Struthio camelus: one gene and its partner. The main gene of each other region encodes a partner of the protein of the gene in region 2 in a complex. Links are inferred from orthologs where the notes say so. Each region holds a gene or a part of one and is shown on either strand. Other genes may lie near its edges.

Region 1 (7,741 bases), about 17 Mb from region 2:
GAGGCCTCAGTACTGCAGCATCCTCAGCACACAAATCTGACGGCTACAGAACCTTATTTCCTCTGCCATTGCCTTGTACTCATGCCTTTCTTCCTATTCCACTCCTCACTCGTTTGTAATGCACGGTACAAGCCGAAGAGACCTTTGTGTGCCTATGTTCCTTTCCTCTCATGATGCCCCTTTTATTAACAAACTACACTTTCCTAGTTGGAAACTACTGCCGTTAAGATAGTAAAGATGAAAGAATCAAGCTCATGGCTATCTTTTCACCTCAGTACATAAGTATTTCCAGGAACTCCTCTCCTGTTTAACTCACCTGAAAAACTAGGGGCTTAAACTTTGAGTCATATTATTTAAACTTACATTTACATATATATATATGTGTACATAAATTGTCTGTTAAGTGTCAAAACCCTCCAAAAATAACAATAAAATTACCTGTAATAGTATGTGTAGAGTTGAGTGGAGCTGTACTCATCATATTAATACCAAAAAGCAAGATATAGCCGATTGCTAGAGTAACTAGTAGATACGCAGGCAATGCAACTGCCCAGTACCTGAGAAATAAGATTTTAAAATTTACTTATCATAATAACAAAATGTCTGGTGACATAACATTTTTAATGTACTGGCTGTTATTGTATACAGCACAAACTTAGCTGGGACGAAAAGAAACACCACCACTAAATATGGACCCTGGTTCCTCCCAGGAAGACTACTAACTATGGAGTCACTGTAGCCAGCCTGTTATAAACAGTCACACAAACTCCTTATAGATGGCTTTTGTTTTTTATATACAATTTAAAATTTATTGTATTTCCATCGGCAAACTTGGTTAAGACAGAATTCCTAACTTATCACAAAACACTGAAATAAATACTACTTCTTTCATTACACAACAAAATATTTTTTATCGTAATTACTTATCGGTATAAAGTAATGCTTCACAAAAACGATAGCCCTTTATCATCAGGAAAAATGTATCAAATGCAAGGCCACCATTTAAAAGATACATGTATAGTTTCGCTATTTGCTATTTGAAATTAATTCAGGGTGTTATAAATGTACGTCTATTCAGGCTTAAGAGTTTAATTGTTTGAACTTACTTTTGAGGCCAGTATGTTAGTCCCAAAGAGAATAGCCAAGTCTCAGGAACGTATGCCCAGATAAGATACAGAACTGCACAAAGAATTAAAAAATCAAAACAGTGCAACCGATACTGTTTTAGACTTCTTCCTTAAGTTTTAGAGCAATACTTCCATACTGATACATACTGTGATAGTGTTTCACTTTCACACAATCTATACCCAGGTAGCTCTAGCATGACATTGCAGAATATATCGCTCATACACAAAACTTGCCGAATATGGGGACAATGTTTTGTACCTCATTATATGCTACCATTTTTGTGTTTAACATTTAGTTTTTGATTTCCTGTGTAGGCAAGACAAGAATTTCATGCAGTCTTGGAACTACAAAACAAAAAGATTCTGCAAAAGCACGCCAAATGACTCTCTGCATACAGACAATATTAAATTACAAAGTGATTATACAGTGGGTCATACGACTAAAAGAGGTGGTAGAACGGCAGGGCTTGGATGGAAGAACTGAATTCAGAAAAAAATAATTACTGAAAATATTTTCAGTCTCTTGGTAAGTTTAACAGTGATCTTCATGTTAACATAACCAACATTGAAAATCTTTCTCCCTAACAACAAATTCAGAGTAAGGTTTAACAAGAACTGAGATGAAGAGTTTAGTAGCCAAACAGTGACACAAAATCTGGAACTGCAGAGGCTTGCTCTGTAGAACTAACACTGGGAAAAACGGAAGCCAACTTAGTTGCATTGCCACTTACCTCCAAGAAACACTGAAGACTTACATAAGAATCCTACTTTTTTGTTCAACTACAATCTATTTGCAATACCTTTTCATTTGTTGAAAAGGTGTTCTCATTTAATTCACCCTTTCTAGGCTATCTTAGTCCTGTGTGGGCATGTAAAACATCCCCAGAGAAATGCTACAGCATCTGTCACATCAGCAGAGAAAGCTGGTAGGGCTGGTCATTTTCCTTTGCTGTTAACCAGACGCGCCTTAACCTTTAATATCCAGGGTTTGGGCACTTGGGGGGCTGGGGTGGGGACGCTGCGGTTACACAATAGCAACTGTATGTGTAATTCAAGTAAAAAAGTTACTAAAATTAGAATGCCGAGAATTTTTTAAATAGGCACTTAATCCCATAGTAGTATTAAAGACAGACAAAACATGAAAGGATCACAAAAGGTAATGCTAGATTCTCAAAACATCTCACAGATCTGGCAAGAAATTGTAATCGTCACCCTTTTGAGATGGTCCAACTGGAATTACATTTCTCTCCTAAGCAGAACAATACTTTCCAGTGAATTATTCAGTACACAATATACTTACTAAAGCCAAACCAAGATCCTAAAAAAAGGGCAAAGCCGTATATTGCTCTTTCTGGCAATGGGGCTGGAGAGTTTTCAACCATGCTGGTCTCTTCCCTTTAACTTCGGGGGGGAAAACAAAAAGAGAAGTATTACAGGTTTGCTTGGTAAGTCTCGCTACGAATTACACGCAAGTGCGGGGATCCGGGGGGGGGGGGGAAACACGACAACACAAATCACTTATTTACCTCCCATGCAGACGTGACGCACCCCACACCAACCGGCGCCGGTGGCCACCTCCCCCCTCCCCGCACGCGCCTGCCGGTGGCGGGAGAGCTGCGCATGCGCTCAGCCCGCAAGGCCCCGCGCGCCGCTCAACGGTCGGCCGGGAGCCGCGGCGCTGCCGACCCCCATCTCCCACAGCCCTTCCTTCCTTCCTTCCTTCTTTCTTTCCCCTGCTACCTGCCTCGGCCGGCTAGGCCATTCCGCCCCCTTCCCTTCGCGTTCCTCAGGAAGGAAACCACACCCAGGGCGCCCTTAAGGACAGCAGGAAAAGAGGCGCCGACCCGCCTGACTTGCCCCTCCCCTTGGTCGCCCGGCGCCGTGTATCTGGCGCATGCGTAATCGGAAAAAGCGCGCTTCAGCACCGCCTCTCCCGCTGCCAGCTCCCGCGGCAAGCAGACGCATGCGCAAAAGCTGCGAGTTCGCGGCGGCCGGAGACCTCTAGCCCAGCGTTGGCTCTCTCCCTTGACGTCAGAAGGCAGCCTGCCAATAGCGGGGCCAGGGCGGGTGAGGGGGGGGGGCTGGCACGTGCGGGGGGAGGGGCCAGCGTTGGGCCCAGCGGCGCCGCGGGTGGCGGTTGGTCTCGCGCTGGCCGTGGCGGGGTCCGGTGAGTGGCGGGCGTTGAGGCCGGGGCGGGCGCTCCCCTCCCCCTCTGCGCGCGGTGCCAAGCTCGTGCCCCTCCCTTGCCCCCGGCCTCCGCCTTGGGGCCGGGAGGGTGACGCCCGGCCCGGCCCGCCTGGGGCGGGCTCCAGCGCAGCCAGTGCGGGGGGACGGGAGCGGGCAGGGCGGTGTGGCCTCGGCTCCGTGGGGCTGCGACACGTCGCTGGTGAGAAGCGCGGCTGCTGCTGGGGCCGGGAGGTGGCGGCGAGGCGGCCGGGCTCCGCGCAGCGGCCCGCGGGTTGCGGTGGGGGGCGAGCTGGCAGGAGGGGGAGCGTGGCTCTGGGCGACGGGAGGCCTCCGCGGTTCTGTCACGCGGGGTGTTTAGAGCCGCTGTCTTTGGATGTGGCAAATGGGGCTTAGTTGCTGTTGCACCCTTCCCCGGCTGGTAGACACTGCCCTTCCCTTTCCTGCCTGTTAGGCGTGAGGCAATAGGAGTGCTGTCAGGGACCAGGCGCTTGCAAAACTGTTGGAGTTGTTAGTCAGTTTAAGTAGTTTTTAACTTGAACAATTATCTAACGCTTTAGGATGCTTTTCTTAAGTTTAACTATGTCACGTAAAAATACGAGTGCATGTTTTCTGTGAAGCTATCACAAATCGTAATGTCATGTTGTGATCATTTTATTTCCTGTAAAGTAAGTGCATTCCTTTCCTCTCTCCCCCACCCGCGTGTGGTTCTCATAATCTTTTTTTTTTCAGTATTATGCACCATGGCTGAGCCTATATCCGAATCTGAATCTGCGGCCATGGCTTTTTATGCTGGTGATAAATCTTGCTGTGAACTGGTAAGTAGGTTTGGAACTAGATGAAAGGCTTGCAAGATGATCCAATGGGTTTTATACCTAGGTATCATCTATAGACTGATTATTGATCTGGATGAACTTTAACTAATGCAAAGATATGCTATACCACTGTAAATTATTCTCTTGCAAAATGCTACATCTGGGTAGAGCACAGAGACTGCATATCCTCTATCACACAAGTTTTACTGAAAAGGTATACAATAAATAAGTAAAACTAGACAGGAATAGATAGATCTTGTTAACACAGTTTTACTAATCTGCTGGCCATGCGTCCAGGCTATGTCAGATGGTATACCTCACAGTAGTGAAATCCATGCTGTGGAGTGAATGAGACGTTCGCAGTGATCCTTCAAGCTGAACCGATTTTGAAATAATTTTTTCCTTCTTTGTTAGTGAGTGGCCAGTTTTGTTAAATATGTTGATAATTTATTTTTGAGAACAAGCCTCAGTTTGCATGTAAAGTTGCAGCAGTTTAGAAATACTACTTTTGATGAGGTCACATGATTGCTTATCACCACTTCAGGTCAAGTTGTCATTGCACAGTATATCGGTATTTCCCTGAGGTCTGCCACTGCAAGAATGAAAGTCTTTAAAGGAAACACTTTCTTGCAGACGTTTGTTTTCATACTTCTTTTTCTAGTCGTATCCAGAAATAACTTTTAGTTTCTTTGAAATTATAATACAGCTGTACATACAGACAAAATACTTACTATTTATTAACAGACATGTACATTATTTTTATTAAAACAGTAGACTTTGTAGGGCTCTGTAAAATGGAACAAAGCCGTGTAATTACTCTTCAGCTCTAGCGGCTGGCATGGAGCACTTCTTTTAAAACTCATTAAAGTTCCATTGGTACAGTGTACTGCTGTGAAATAAATAAGTGAATCAACCTGTGAAGTAAATAAATGAATCAACCACTTTTATTTACTCTACGTACTTTGATATATGTTTATTCACATATATATGCACATACTATTAAAAAATTAATTAATATTTTGAAAACCTGTTATCTTAAAAATGTCTTCTGTAGGTATTCTTGGATATTATGTCACTGTCCATTAGCCAGGTTTGAGTGATCTATTTTTTACAAGAATGCTATGGTAGTATAATTTAATATATTGTTTAAGCTATTAATAATTGTGAGTGGCTGTGAACATTTTTAATTTATGGGTATCTTTTTCAGTTAATGGGCATATAGGTAAACATTTTTCTCATATGAGTGCAAATAAACCATTATGCTACTTAGAAACAGTTAAGTAGTTGCTGCTTGCAGTTGATGTAATGCATTTGTGGGATATGTAATGTTAATAATTAATATGCTTATCATTAGGGTCATGGAGTATTTGTACAGCGTTCTTCACGTAAACTTAGAACAGGTATGTAAATTAAACTAATCTTGCATAACTTTCTCCTATGTACTTCCTGTGCTGTATCTTTGGATTGCTATTTCACTTTTTTCCTTATTTTGTCTCCATATATGTATAAAATTATTTGGTCTCTTCTGAGTGGAAGTATTGCTAAATTTTGAGTTGGAGTAATTCTCATCTTTTTATTGTAATGTAATATGCAGGAGAATACCATAGGTTTGTGAGAACAGTGTGAATACTTGGTTACACTTCCATACACGGTGTCAGTTAATGTTAAGAGAACAGAGATTTTAAACTTTGTTGATTACCTGTGCTCTAATCATAGCTATGTTTTAGCTATGTAGGTCTGAGTACATGCTCAAGATGATCTTTGTAGGTAGAGTGTTGTAATTATAGATAATCTCCTTTCTCCCCCTCTCCCCCCCCCTCTCTCTCTGTTTTGTTTTTTGGGCTTTTTTGGATAGTTGCAGAAAAGTAGATAGCTACACAATACGCCAAGTTCTTCAAAATTATTCCATATACAAAATGAAAACCTACAATACCTAGTCTGTAGGAAACTCAGGTGAATGCAGCTGCCTATGTAAAAGCAGGTTTCGTATATACACAAAACTCTCAGATGCTACTGCTTCTCTTCTGTGGCTACTTGATACCATCTCAATAGTCAAATGAGGATTTTTGCCCGTAAAATACAGTCTCCAAGGGAAATGGGTCATATTTTTGAAAGAGCCACATATCATAAAGAACGGACTCGGGAGGAAAAATAAAAATCACTGCTGAGTTTATGTACCTTGTTGCTACATGCCATGCTACTGTGAAATTATGACAGAAAATAATTAAACAGGTGCAGCTAGAAGCAGCCTATGTTTTGTCTTGAAAGTAGCACCCTTAATAGCCTTTAAACAGCTCACAGCCTTTGTTAGGCTCCTCATTAGAAGCAAGCAGCGTTTATTCAGAGTAATGCAGAACACAGACCACTCGCTCATTGACGAAGGAATGCAAAACTTGCCAGCAGTTCTTTTGTCTCTCCTCAGTGTAAATTTCCTCTCCTCCTTGGATTGAAAAAAAAAAAACCCACAAGTCATCATTTATATTTAGAGTTTTCAAGTCACCTCGTTCTAGTTAGATAATACACAAGAATACACTATGGAAGGAACTGATGTTTTTGAATGTTTAATTGGACTTTGATTATTTGTAATGCCGGAATTGGATAGTTTAGTTCCTAACTATTTTTTTAATTAAAGATGTTGATCCCTGTGAAGCGTGGTGCAGTCAGCCAGTTGACATATTAAGAGAATATTGCAACATTATTAAAATACGCATCTTTTGGCCACTTCTCTTCAAAAGCGAGAGCAATTCTTTGGTAGCCGATTGGAGGTAAGCAATTGTGTTCTTGAAGTGGTTTGTTTGTGTTTTTTTTGTTACCTGTGAAGGGTTGATGTGCACTTTCAATAACAGATAAACTGTGGAAACGCTAAACTATCTTAGCTTATTTAGCTCACTGATGAAAACATTAAGGTCAGAAAACACAGTCCCTGAAAATAGGGATGAAAATATTAAGAATAGGTTTCTGAAGCTTGGAATGTAAGCATGTATTTAAGGACTTAAGTGGATGCCCTGTATTTTAAAAGTACCACACGCTCCTCAGCTATTCTTGATTTTCTTTCTATCGAGAGCTCGGTTTGAGTTTGTAACCGTTGTCTTGCTTAGATCTTAGAAGCATAAATATTAGTAGTTAAAACCATGTAACATAGTGTTATTTTTCTAAATAATAACTTGTTTTGTTTTTAAGCAGTTCACAGATTTTAGACCAGAATTGGAAGAGGCTCTATGATTTAGAGTTTTTGGAAGACCTTGTTGATTTGATTAAAAAAGTTGCTGTAAGTATCATCTTTTAACTTTGTATATGTTTTCAAGTGTAATAAGCTATTTAATTCTTTACTTTATGCAGTTTGCGATTATATCTTAAATTGGACATTTCCTTTTATTGGAGGGAATAGACTACCTGACAGCCGGCTGAGTTCCACTTTTGTAGAAAGGAAGTGTGGTATCGTGGCCTTTATTATACAGTTGGGATAACTTTTGTATAGTGCATAATGCATTTCACCAGGACCTTTTTAGATTGCTGTATAAGAAACTGTCATGAGACTTGTATCAGTGAGGCAAATGATACCTTTCCCCGATTAATAAGCATTTATTTCCTCAATTGTTTTACCCTTGTTCAGTA
Region 2 (8,031 bases):
ACCATATACTGAAAAAATGTATAGTTCCCATACTATGCACATATATAGAGAGAAAAATAACACAGACACCTCTGTTCTAGTTTCTTTACATTTTTGCCAACAATAAAAAAATTCAAGACTCTGCTTTTTATTTTCACACACATATACACACATAACACAAAACTTACAAATATGAAGCTAGGGGAAGGGTTTTTCCTGTTCTGTTTTAATGGCAACTGCTTTCCAAACATTGCTACTATGCTGTCAGAACATTGCTTCATGCAGTTAATAAGATTTGTCATCATTTTCTTTGTTTGGATGTATTATATAAATTTGCAATGTCAGGTCTGATCAATTTCAAAGCCTGAGGGGAAAGAAGTGTTTAGGACATCAATAATCAGGACTTGTTATTTTGAGGAGAGATTGGAAAATCAGAGGAGGGAGAAGGAAGAATAATACTAGCAGGCAATTTTATCTTCCATGCCAGGGGGAAGCAAAGGGAGGAATCATTAGACTGAAGAACAGAACGGGCAACAGAAGATAGAGGCCCTACAGTGAGAGATGCAGAACACTGGATGCAAGAGAAAACCGGAGAGTGTAAGCCTTCGCAGTAGTGGCATTTGTGAGGATGGCTGCAAAGTTTCACAATGGAAGGCTGCTCAGAGCCTCTCCTCCCCACTGAACTGAAAGAAGCAACAAGCAGGGAAATTTCTTGGATAGTGTTCAGGTAGTCACTACCCATTTACACATTTACTTCAAAAGAACTGAAGTAAGTTTTTGTTTGTCCATAGATGTTCCAAAACGCACACTGTGAACCTAGCACTCTAGAACATACAGCAATAACTAGATACAGCTAAGGATATCCTAAGGCTGATGAAGGCTAAATTTCCAACTTTTGGTAGGAGGGAGTAAGGAAAACTGTTTTGTTTTTAAAAGATGCACCCCAAATACTTCAAAAAAAAAAAAAAGAAGAAGTAAAAAGGAAATGGAAAATTAAGAACCTTGTATTTGCTGTACAAAATTGTTTTTGAACAACTACTACTCATAAAAATCCCAAAGAAATATATAGACACATATATGTCATAGAAACACTTTGGTAACACAGTAGCACCATGAAAACGCATACTAGATAACTACTATCCTGAAAAGTTTGACCTAAAAATAAAAAAATGCAACAAAGCAGAAATGGCAACAAGAAAGAAGATTCCAGAATTACTAGCAGTCATCCTCATGAGCAGCAGTCACACCAACTAGCTGTCTAACACCATATAGCACTATATGGTAATATAGCAGAGGTAACCTGAACATCACGATTTCAGAGAGGAATATGAATAAACTTATGTCTAATTCAGATTTTCTCTGAATCTGCTGAAGGTTCCCACAGGGTCTATTCATAAGAATCAGCCTGCAGGATCATGGTCCAACTTTAAAGTGATCAATCAGTGTGTGCTGCATCTGCCTTGCCCTCAATGATTCTCATCTCCTCCTCCAGTCTAAGTTTTTTGGATTTCTTTCTTTGGCAGAGAAGAGGGACAGGAGGAGAGTTGCTGCTGTCTTCCCCACCCCTAAAATACATTAAAAGACCATAAACATGCATAGAACAAACCTGTCATGTAGCTGGTATCTTTCCCGGACTTCTTCCAGAACGATTCGTTTTGGTCCTTCTCCTCCAACTAAGAAATGTAAATCTGGATATTTCTGACAGAGCTCAGGAATTATACCACTAAGCAAATCTATACCTAAGAGTATAAAATTTAAAGTAAGTTGTTATTGTATTTCATTTTAGAATGGTAAGGTAGCCTAGTGCTATAAGTCTATTTGGGAGGAAGGGAAAGGAGAGGAAAAAAAAAAAAAAGCCATGGTCTCAGAAGGACAGCTGTATTGCTGGACATAAAATTATGAAAAAAGGCAAATTCTAATCTATTAGGAGACAAATGTGGAAGGAAAAAAACCACTCAAGTTCTTGTTGCTTGATTAAAAACAATTGTAAAAACACATTCTTAATAGAATGCATAGTTTGGGCCCTAAACTTGGTTCCCAGTATAAGCCAAACCCTCCATTTTACAATGGCAAAATCTTCAGTTTTTCAAGATCTTCATTGGAAGACATAGACCTCAAAACCCCAAGTGTGCAGACTGAAATTTCTTCTTCTTGAATGCATAGATAGAAAAATTCAGAATCATCACCTCACAATAGGGAAATTCCCATTTCACAGTTAATCCATACCACAGATATGGATATCAAAAAAACAAAGTAAACTTACATTTCGGCCCCCATTACCTTTTCTGTAAACAAGTCTGCTGACAACAACAATCGTTATTGTACTATCATCCCTTCTTGATGGGTCTGGAGTGAAGTCGGTGGGGTCTACAGCATTGGGAATGACAGAGACTATCTGAGGATCCAGAGCTGCTCTCAGCACTGTGTTCTCCTTACTTGTATAAGAGACACAGATTATGTGATTTGTATCACAGAGGGACACAGTCAGAAGTTTGTTGGTTAGCACCGAGCTGACATCTGCAAACCCAAAGAGAGAGTGGTCCGTGAACACCGTCCGCAGGCCCATGGTCTTGGCGTGGAAGAGCGCGTCGTGGGCCATGGCAGAGAAAGAGCTGTGGGCATGGACGATGGTGACCCTCTCTCGCACAAGGATGTACCTGAGCAGAGGCAGGCTGTGGAAGAGCGTCGTCGCCGTGGACTGGTTGTACATCACCTTCAGGGGCAAGTAGTAGACCTTCAGCCCGTTGGTGAGGTAGCGAATGCCTTTGCGGGCCCCGTAGGCGTGGGTGACCACCAGGACCTTGTGGCCCCGCTCGATGAGGCACTGCGACAGCTGGTAGATGTGGCTCTCCACGCCCCCCATGTTGGGGTAGAAGAAGTCCGACACCATGCAGACGCTGTGCGCCCGCCGCGCCGGCCCCCCGGCCGCCATCCCCGGCCCGCGCCTGCGGGGGCAACCACGAGGCGCCGTCACTCGCTGACAGGAGCCCCCCCGGCCGCCCTTACCGTCGGCTACCCCCTCGCCGCCGCCGGGCCCAGCCATGCCGCCGCCGCCGCGCAGGCCACGCCGCCACCCCGGCGGCACCAACGACGCCAGCCGAGGGGCGGCCCCGCGGCCCCTTTAAGAGGGCGATCACCCCGGGCAACCGGGCCCGCCTCGAGGCGGTTGGGGGAAAGGGGGGGTTGAGAGGCGTGGGGCCGCGCGCGCGCGCGCGCATGCACCTACCTGCCGGCTGCCGGCGCGTCTGCAGGCACCGCCCGGGCGCCCTGCCGTTTCCGGGCACGGCAGCCGTCACCACGGCAACCGCGCGGCTCGCCTCTTCCCTTTTCCCGGCGGCGCGTCAGGCGGGAAAAGAAGGGGCCAATGGGAGGGGCCTGGGGACGGCTGGGAGCGCGGCGGAGAGCAGGGACGTGACGGAAGCGCGCGCCCCGCCCAACGCTCGCTTTAACCCTTCGCTCGCTGCCAGGGCGGGCGGGGCCGGCCGTTAGGCGCCGCGTGCCGGAGACGGGGGGGAGGGGAGCGGGGTCATGGCGCGGCGGGCAGGCGGTTGCGGACTGCCGGTTCCCCCTCTTCCCCCTCTTCCCCCTCTTCCCCCTCGCCTCCCTAATAAATCCTGGTTCTGGCTAGAGCCGTTGCAGTGTGAATGTGCTTTGGTTTCCTTCACGTCCCCTTCTCAGTTCCCTCCGTGCTTGCTTGCCCTTTCCAAGGGTAGCGCTGCGTTTTGCTGCCCTTGGTCACCTCCTGAGCAGGGAGTTGCCTGGTGTGAGCTGGTCAGCAGCCTGTTGCACGCTGTTCCCTTGTACCCAGCCGGGCACCTGCCAAGGAGGGCTACCCCACCTGAGGTGTGGGGAGCCTGGGGTGGGCAGGTGTCCTGCTGAGGCGTGCAAGTAAGTGCCTTGAGCTGGGAGGCCTAACCTCAGTATTTCTGCTGTCCCAGTTAGGCTCCCATGCCCTGGTGAATGGGATGCTGCATCCAGTCCCCTAAACCAGCGTGGAAGCCACTGCAATGGAAAGCCTGCCTTAGTAGGTTGGTGTTGAAAGACAGTGGACGCACCCAGCCCAGCCCTGTTAGTCAAAAGTCTATGAAAGTGAGCTGCACGCTGTAAAATAACAGAATTGTTTTGAAACTTCTCAGGCTGCTCCCCGCCCACCGCAGCGGGGAGGCTTTTCTGCTTTACTCTTTGGCTTTGTTCATCACAACAGGAACTCTAAAGATGTGCTCAAGTCTTTGCCACAAGTGCTCAAGTCTTTGCCACAAATGCTTGAAACTTGCTCTTGTAACCAAAAATAAAAATACCATCATTCTTATAAGCACTCTAGGAGTTTTAACTTTGAGAAACAAAACTGAATACTGTAAGATTTGCTAAAAAACCTGAGCTGGCCTTGCTTGGCTGTGTATTTCCAGTCTCCTCAAAACGGTTTGGAATCAGCTGTCACCAACTCCTGCACTGGCACATCTGTTACTCCCTGGCAAGAATGGATGTTATGTGGTGTTCATGTCTTTCCTATATGTTCCTAAAATTACGTTTGGCAGCTACTTCTCCCGAGTAAGATTTCCGATACGAATTTTGCCTGATGCAGTCTCATCATCACTCCTGTGCAATTATCTGTGGCACAGATAATAACAGTACTAACTGACATCGACTAAAGTGCTGATTGGATCATAGGTTGGATTAAAACTTGGACAGACCAAGCTTGAAGGTGGTGATCTAGAGAAAGACGGAGGAAGAAATCAAGCACTTCATTTTGGGGACTGGAAGTGCTGAAAGGGGTTGGTGTGCTGAACAAGAAAATCACTGCTGGTTGTTTGATTTTCTGCTGTGTTCAGAGAGGCAAGACGGGTATTGCTGCATCTGACTTCATCATCAAGCGCTCCTCGTAGGTGGAATGCCTGGCAAGGATCCGCATTTCAGGGTGAGAAACTGAACATAAGGCCAGAAGTGGTAGGGCTGCTGACCTGCAGCGGCAGGTATCCTGCTGTGAAGCAAAGATCCAGGGGACCAGTGGGCCGTTTGGGTCCTACTTCTCAGTAGAAATGGGATCCTGGATGTAAAGCAGTTGCCTTGGATTAAATCTAGGAGAGACTGAAGTAGTGCCAATAGAAGGAGGAAAGCACCTTGAAGTTCTCAGCTCCCGCACCCCGCCACATGATCTTTGGTAATTCACATCAGTAAGCTGCCTCAGGGTCAGACTGCCCTGAAGAATCAAACTGTAGTAGTCACCGCATTTTTAGCTGTCAGAAAGAAATACTTTTGTTTTTACTGATCTGAAAAATGATTTATTTTCTTCTTAGACTGGCTACTATTGCTGACAAATTTCTCGTGTGCTGTCTAGAGAAACTGTAATTCTTTGTATGTGATCTTTGCAAAATCCACAGAGAAATCCTTAATTGCCATACAACATAGCTGCCCCTCTATTCAGCAAAGGAAGTGGAATTTGCCATGGTCCATAAGCTGTTGCTGACCACTGTGCAAATTCAGGACACTGACACAAAACCTTCCACAGGAGAGAACCATATTATCTCAGAAACCTCCCTTTCTGCCACAGCAGCTATGATTTCGGGGCTGTCTGTATTTATCTGAACATTGGACAGGATACAGAGCTTTCTCAGCAGTTGGCCATAAACTCTGGAATGTCTTTTTAAAGGTCAGGAAAAGTATTACGGCTAAGTTTTCCTGCCTTTGACCTCTGCACGTTAACTGTGATGTTCTGACATCTACATTCTACATTAAACGTATCTAGTTATGTTTAATGTCATATCTTTGGCACAAAACAATCCCATATAAACCAGCAGCCTCCTTCCACTGTCATCTTTAAATGATCCTGAAAAATTTATGTCTACCAACAAGCTTAGGAAAAATCGTAAAAGAAAGGAAAGGAATCGTTGCTACTGCATACTTGGCAAATATATTGATGAATTTTCTATCCACAGTTGTTTCACAAGGACCAAGTACCTCACATTTTCCCTGTCTATGTTGTTGAGTTGTTTATTCATAAAGTTGTAACTGATTCTGGGCGGATCCAGAGTCTGCCCTGCCCTGATAAGAGGTGAAATGGTGAAGGGACCAACGGATGAAGAGAGAATCAAGTTTGCTTCCTTTCTAAATGCCAAAGCTTGATCCGTTCATTCCCTCATTTAAAGTACATACAAGGTCAAAGTAAGACTGTGGGATATGTAAAGTAGAGAGTAAAGATGTTAAATCAGTGACAGCAGAAAAATTACTGCTTCCAAGCCTGGTTGTAGAATGCTCTCTAAAGCACCCTCATAAATTGAGTTAATGGAGAGAGAAGATGGAGACTTAAAGAGACTCCTGTGGCTTTGTACTGCAAGCAGATGTCATCTTGCCTCAAGGAGAGCAGTTCAGTGTTCTTGAAAATAAAGAAAAACGTTATGCCAGGTACTGTGCTATATCATTTCCCGCTCAGCCTCCCCTCATGCTGAGCTCTGTTAGGCTGCCCTCAACATGGATTCCATGACATATTTTCCTAGAGCGAAACATACCAGTTTGGTGGAGTAGCTTTTCTAGGTGGATAAGCTGATATATTACAAGTCCTGCAGAGATCATTTAACGTGCATACCCTGTTTTTAAAGAAATACTAGGTGAAATCTGTATATTTAACAAAATTTTGTATGTACACTTCTGTGAGCCTCATAAAACAAAATCACGAATGCGGAACTTAATTTACACATTTGTTTATAGGTGGTATGTCTAAAGCACATGGTTTTATTGCCTCAGAACATCAGTAATTTACAAAAAAAGGTGATCAGTTGTTCACAAAGTAGTTCACAAAAAAGCTGCCAAGTAGTGCTGTTCCAGAGCCTGATACCACGATGAGGTAGGTAGCCATGGTGCTGCTGGAAAAAAAGTGTCAGGAAGTGAAAGAGTGATGGGACAGTGAATACACAGCTGGCTTAAAGTGAAGGAAATTGTCTTTCCCTGTTCTGAGGAAAGTAGAAAATACTTTAAGCTCCAAATGGAAAATATAGTGAAAAATAGTACTACTAGGTGGAGACTCAGCGTCTGTAGTTGTAAGCATGGAGCAAGATCAATTGCTGAAACTAAGCAAGAAGATAACCCGGAGCAGCCCAGCACGGAGTTTGAAAAAACATGGTGTTTTACTCCCTGATCATAATGGAATTACATGTGCTCTGTTGTGAGGATGGAATTAGTATTTGGAGCCTTGGTTCTGAAGGAAATGAGGAACGCTCCTTTCATTTTACCTGCTTTTATATACTAATTAAGACTGGAGAGCCTATCAGTTCTTCTTAGACTCCTACAAATAGGGAGTGAGGGACCAACTGTCTACTTCAGCAGTTATTTTTCATGGTCGGGAGTAAAAATGATGTAACAGGTTTCTTTAATACCTTAAAAAGGTTGATACTGTCTGGTTTTTATTGGTGTACAGTCAATCCCTTATCTGGCTGCAATACCACCCAAAAAGCAGCCAAGAAAAATGATGACTTTCTTATTCAGCCACGTAGGTTTTCTTACAGACGAGCTCCCTTACTGATGAAATCCTGCAGAAGCTGGTTGAGATGACATGTTAATGTGCTTTTTAAAATAAAGCTTTCAAGGTGAAAGGTTAATAAACTGCAGTGCAGTCCATGAAGGGAATGACTATTAAATGCAAGCTGCAAAAAATGGCTTCTTATCTTCAAGTCAGATTTCTCTCTTCAGTTCCAGAAAGTTGTTTTTCCATTTTGCAGGCACATGTCCTGTCCAAGCAGGATATCCAAGGCAGATGAGTTTGCTAATAGAAGTGAGAAGTTGATCAGCAATTCTTTGTCTCTCTCTTAGGTTTCACATTTGTATTCTGCCCTTAATGCACACCCTGAGATCTTGTTCCCTCAGTCATCCTTTGTGGACCTTTGTGAACTACAACTCTCTCCCCATTCAAGGGCCCAGGTTTCCTTCTCTCTCAAATCAGGATAGTGAAGAAGAGGAAGAGCCTGTGCTTGTGTCTGCCAGCACCTGTGTCTCACTACAGTGTGGGCGAGGGAGTAACCGGGGAGCTTACTCAGGAGTGGCTTCTGGGCCCCTGAGCTTTCT

What was found. Proteins that work in one complex are often made in the same cells at the same time.
Region 1: PIGA (region 2) and PIGP share a complex: the UniProt entries of both Homo sapiens proteins name them as parts of the glycosylphosphatidylinositol-N-acetylglucosaminyltransferase (GPI-GnT) complex. The link is inferred for Struthio camelus from reciprocal best matches to the Homo sapiens genes PIGA and PIGP.

The regions. Positions count from the first base shown.
Region 1 is NC_090942.1:122,278,066-122,285,806, forward strand, and holds the start of PIGP (phosphatidylinositol N-acetylglucosaminyltransferase subunit P), read right to left. Parts: upstream 3,097-7,741; 5' UTR 2,868-3,096; exon of another isoform or gene 2,654-2,867; intron 2,529-2,653; 5' UTR 2,510-2,528; coding exon 2,428-2,509; intron 1,180-2,427; coding exon 1,107-1,179; intron 558-1,106; coding exon 439-557; intron 1-438. Other genes in the region: E3 ubiquitin-protein ligase TTC3, read left to right, coding at 4,055-4,129, 5,481-5,526, 6,759-6,891, 7,307-7,394. UniProt on the Homo sapiens protein: Part of the glycosylphosphatidylinositol-N-acetylglucosaminyltransferase (GPI-GnT) complex that catalyzes the transfer of N-acetylglucosamine from UDP-N-acetylglucosamine to phosphatidylinositol and participates in the first step of GPI biosynthesis.
Region 2 is NC_090942.1:139,536,231-139,544,261, reverse strand, and holds the start of PIGA (phosphatidylinositol N-acetylglucosaminyltransferase subunit A), read right to left. Parts: upstream 3,101-8,031; 5' UTR 3,023-3,100; coding exon 2,260-3,022; intron 1,719-2,259; coding exon 1,586-1,718; intron 1-1,585. UniProt on the Homo sapiens protein: Catalytic subunit of the glycosylphosphatidylinositol-N-acetylglucosaminyltransferase (GPI-GnT) complex that catalyzes the transfer of N-acetylglucosamine from UDP-N-acetylglucosamine to phosphatidylinositol and participates in the first step of GPI biosynthesis.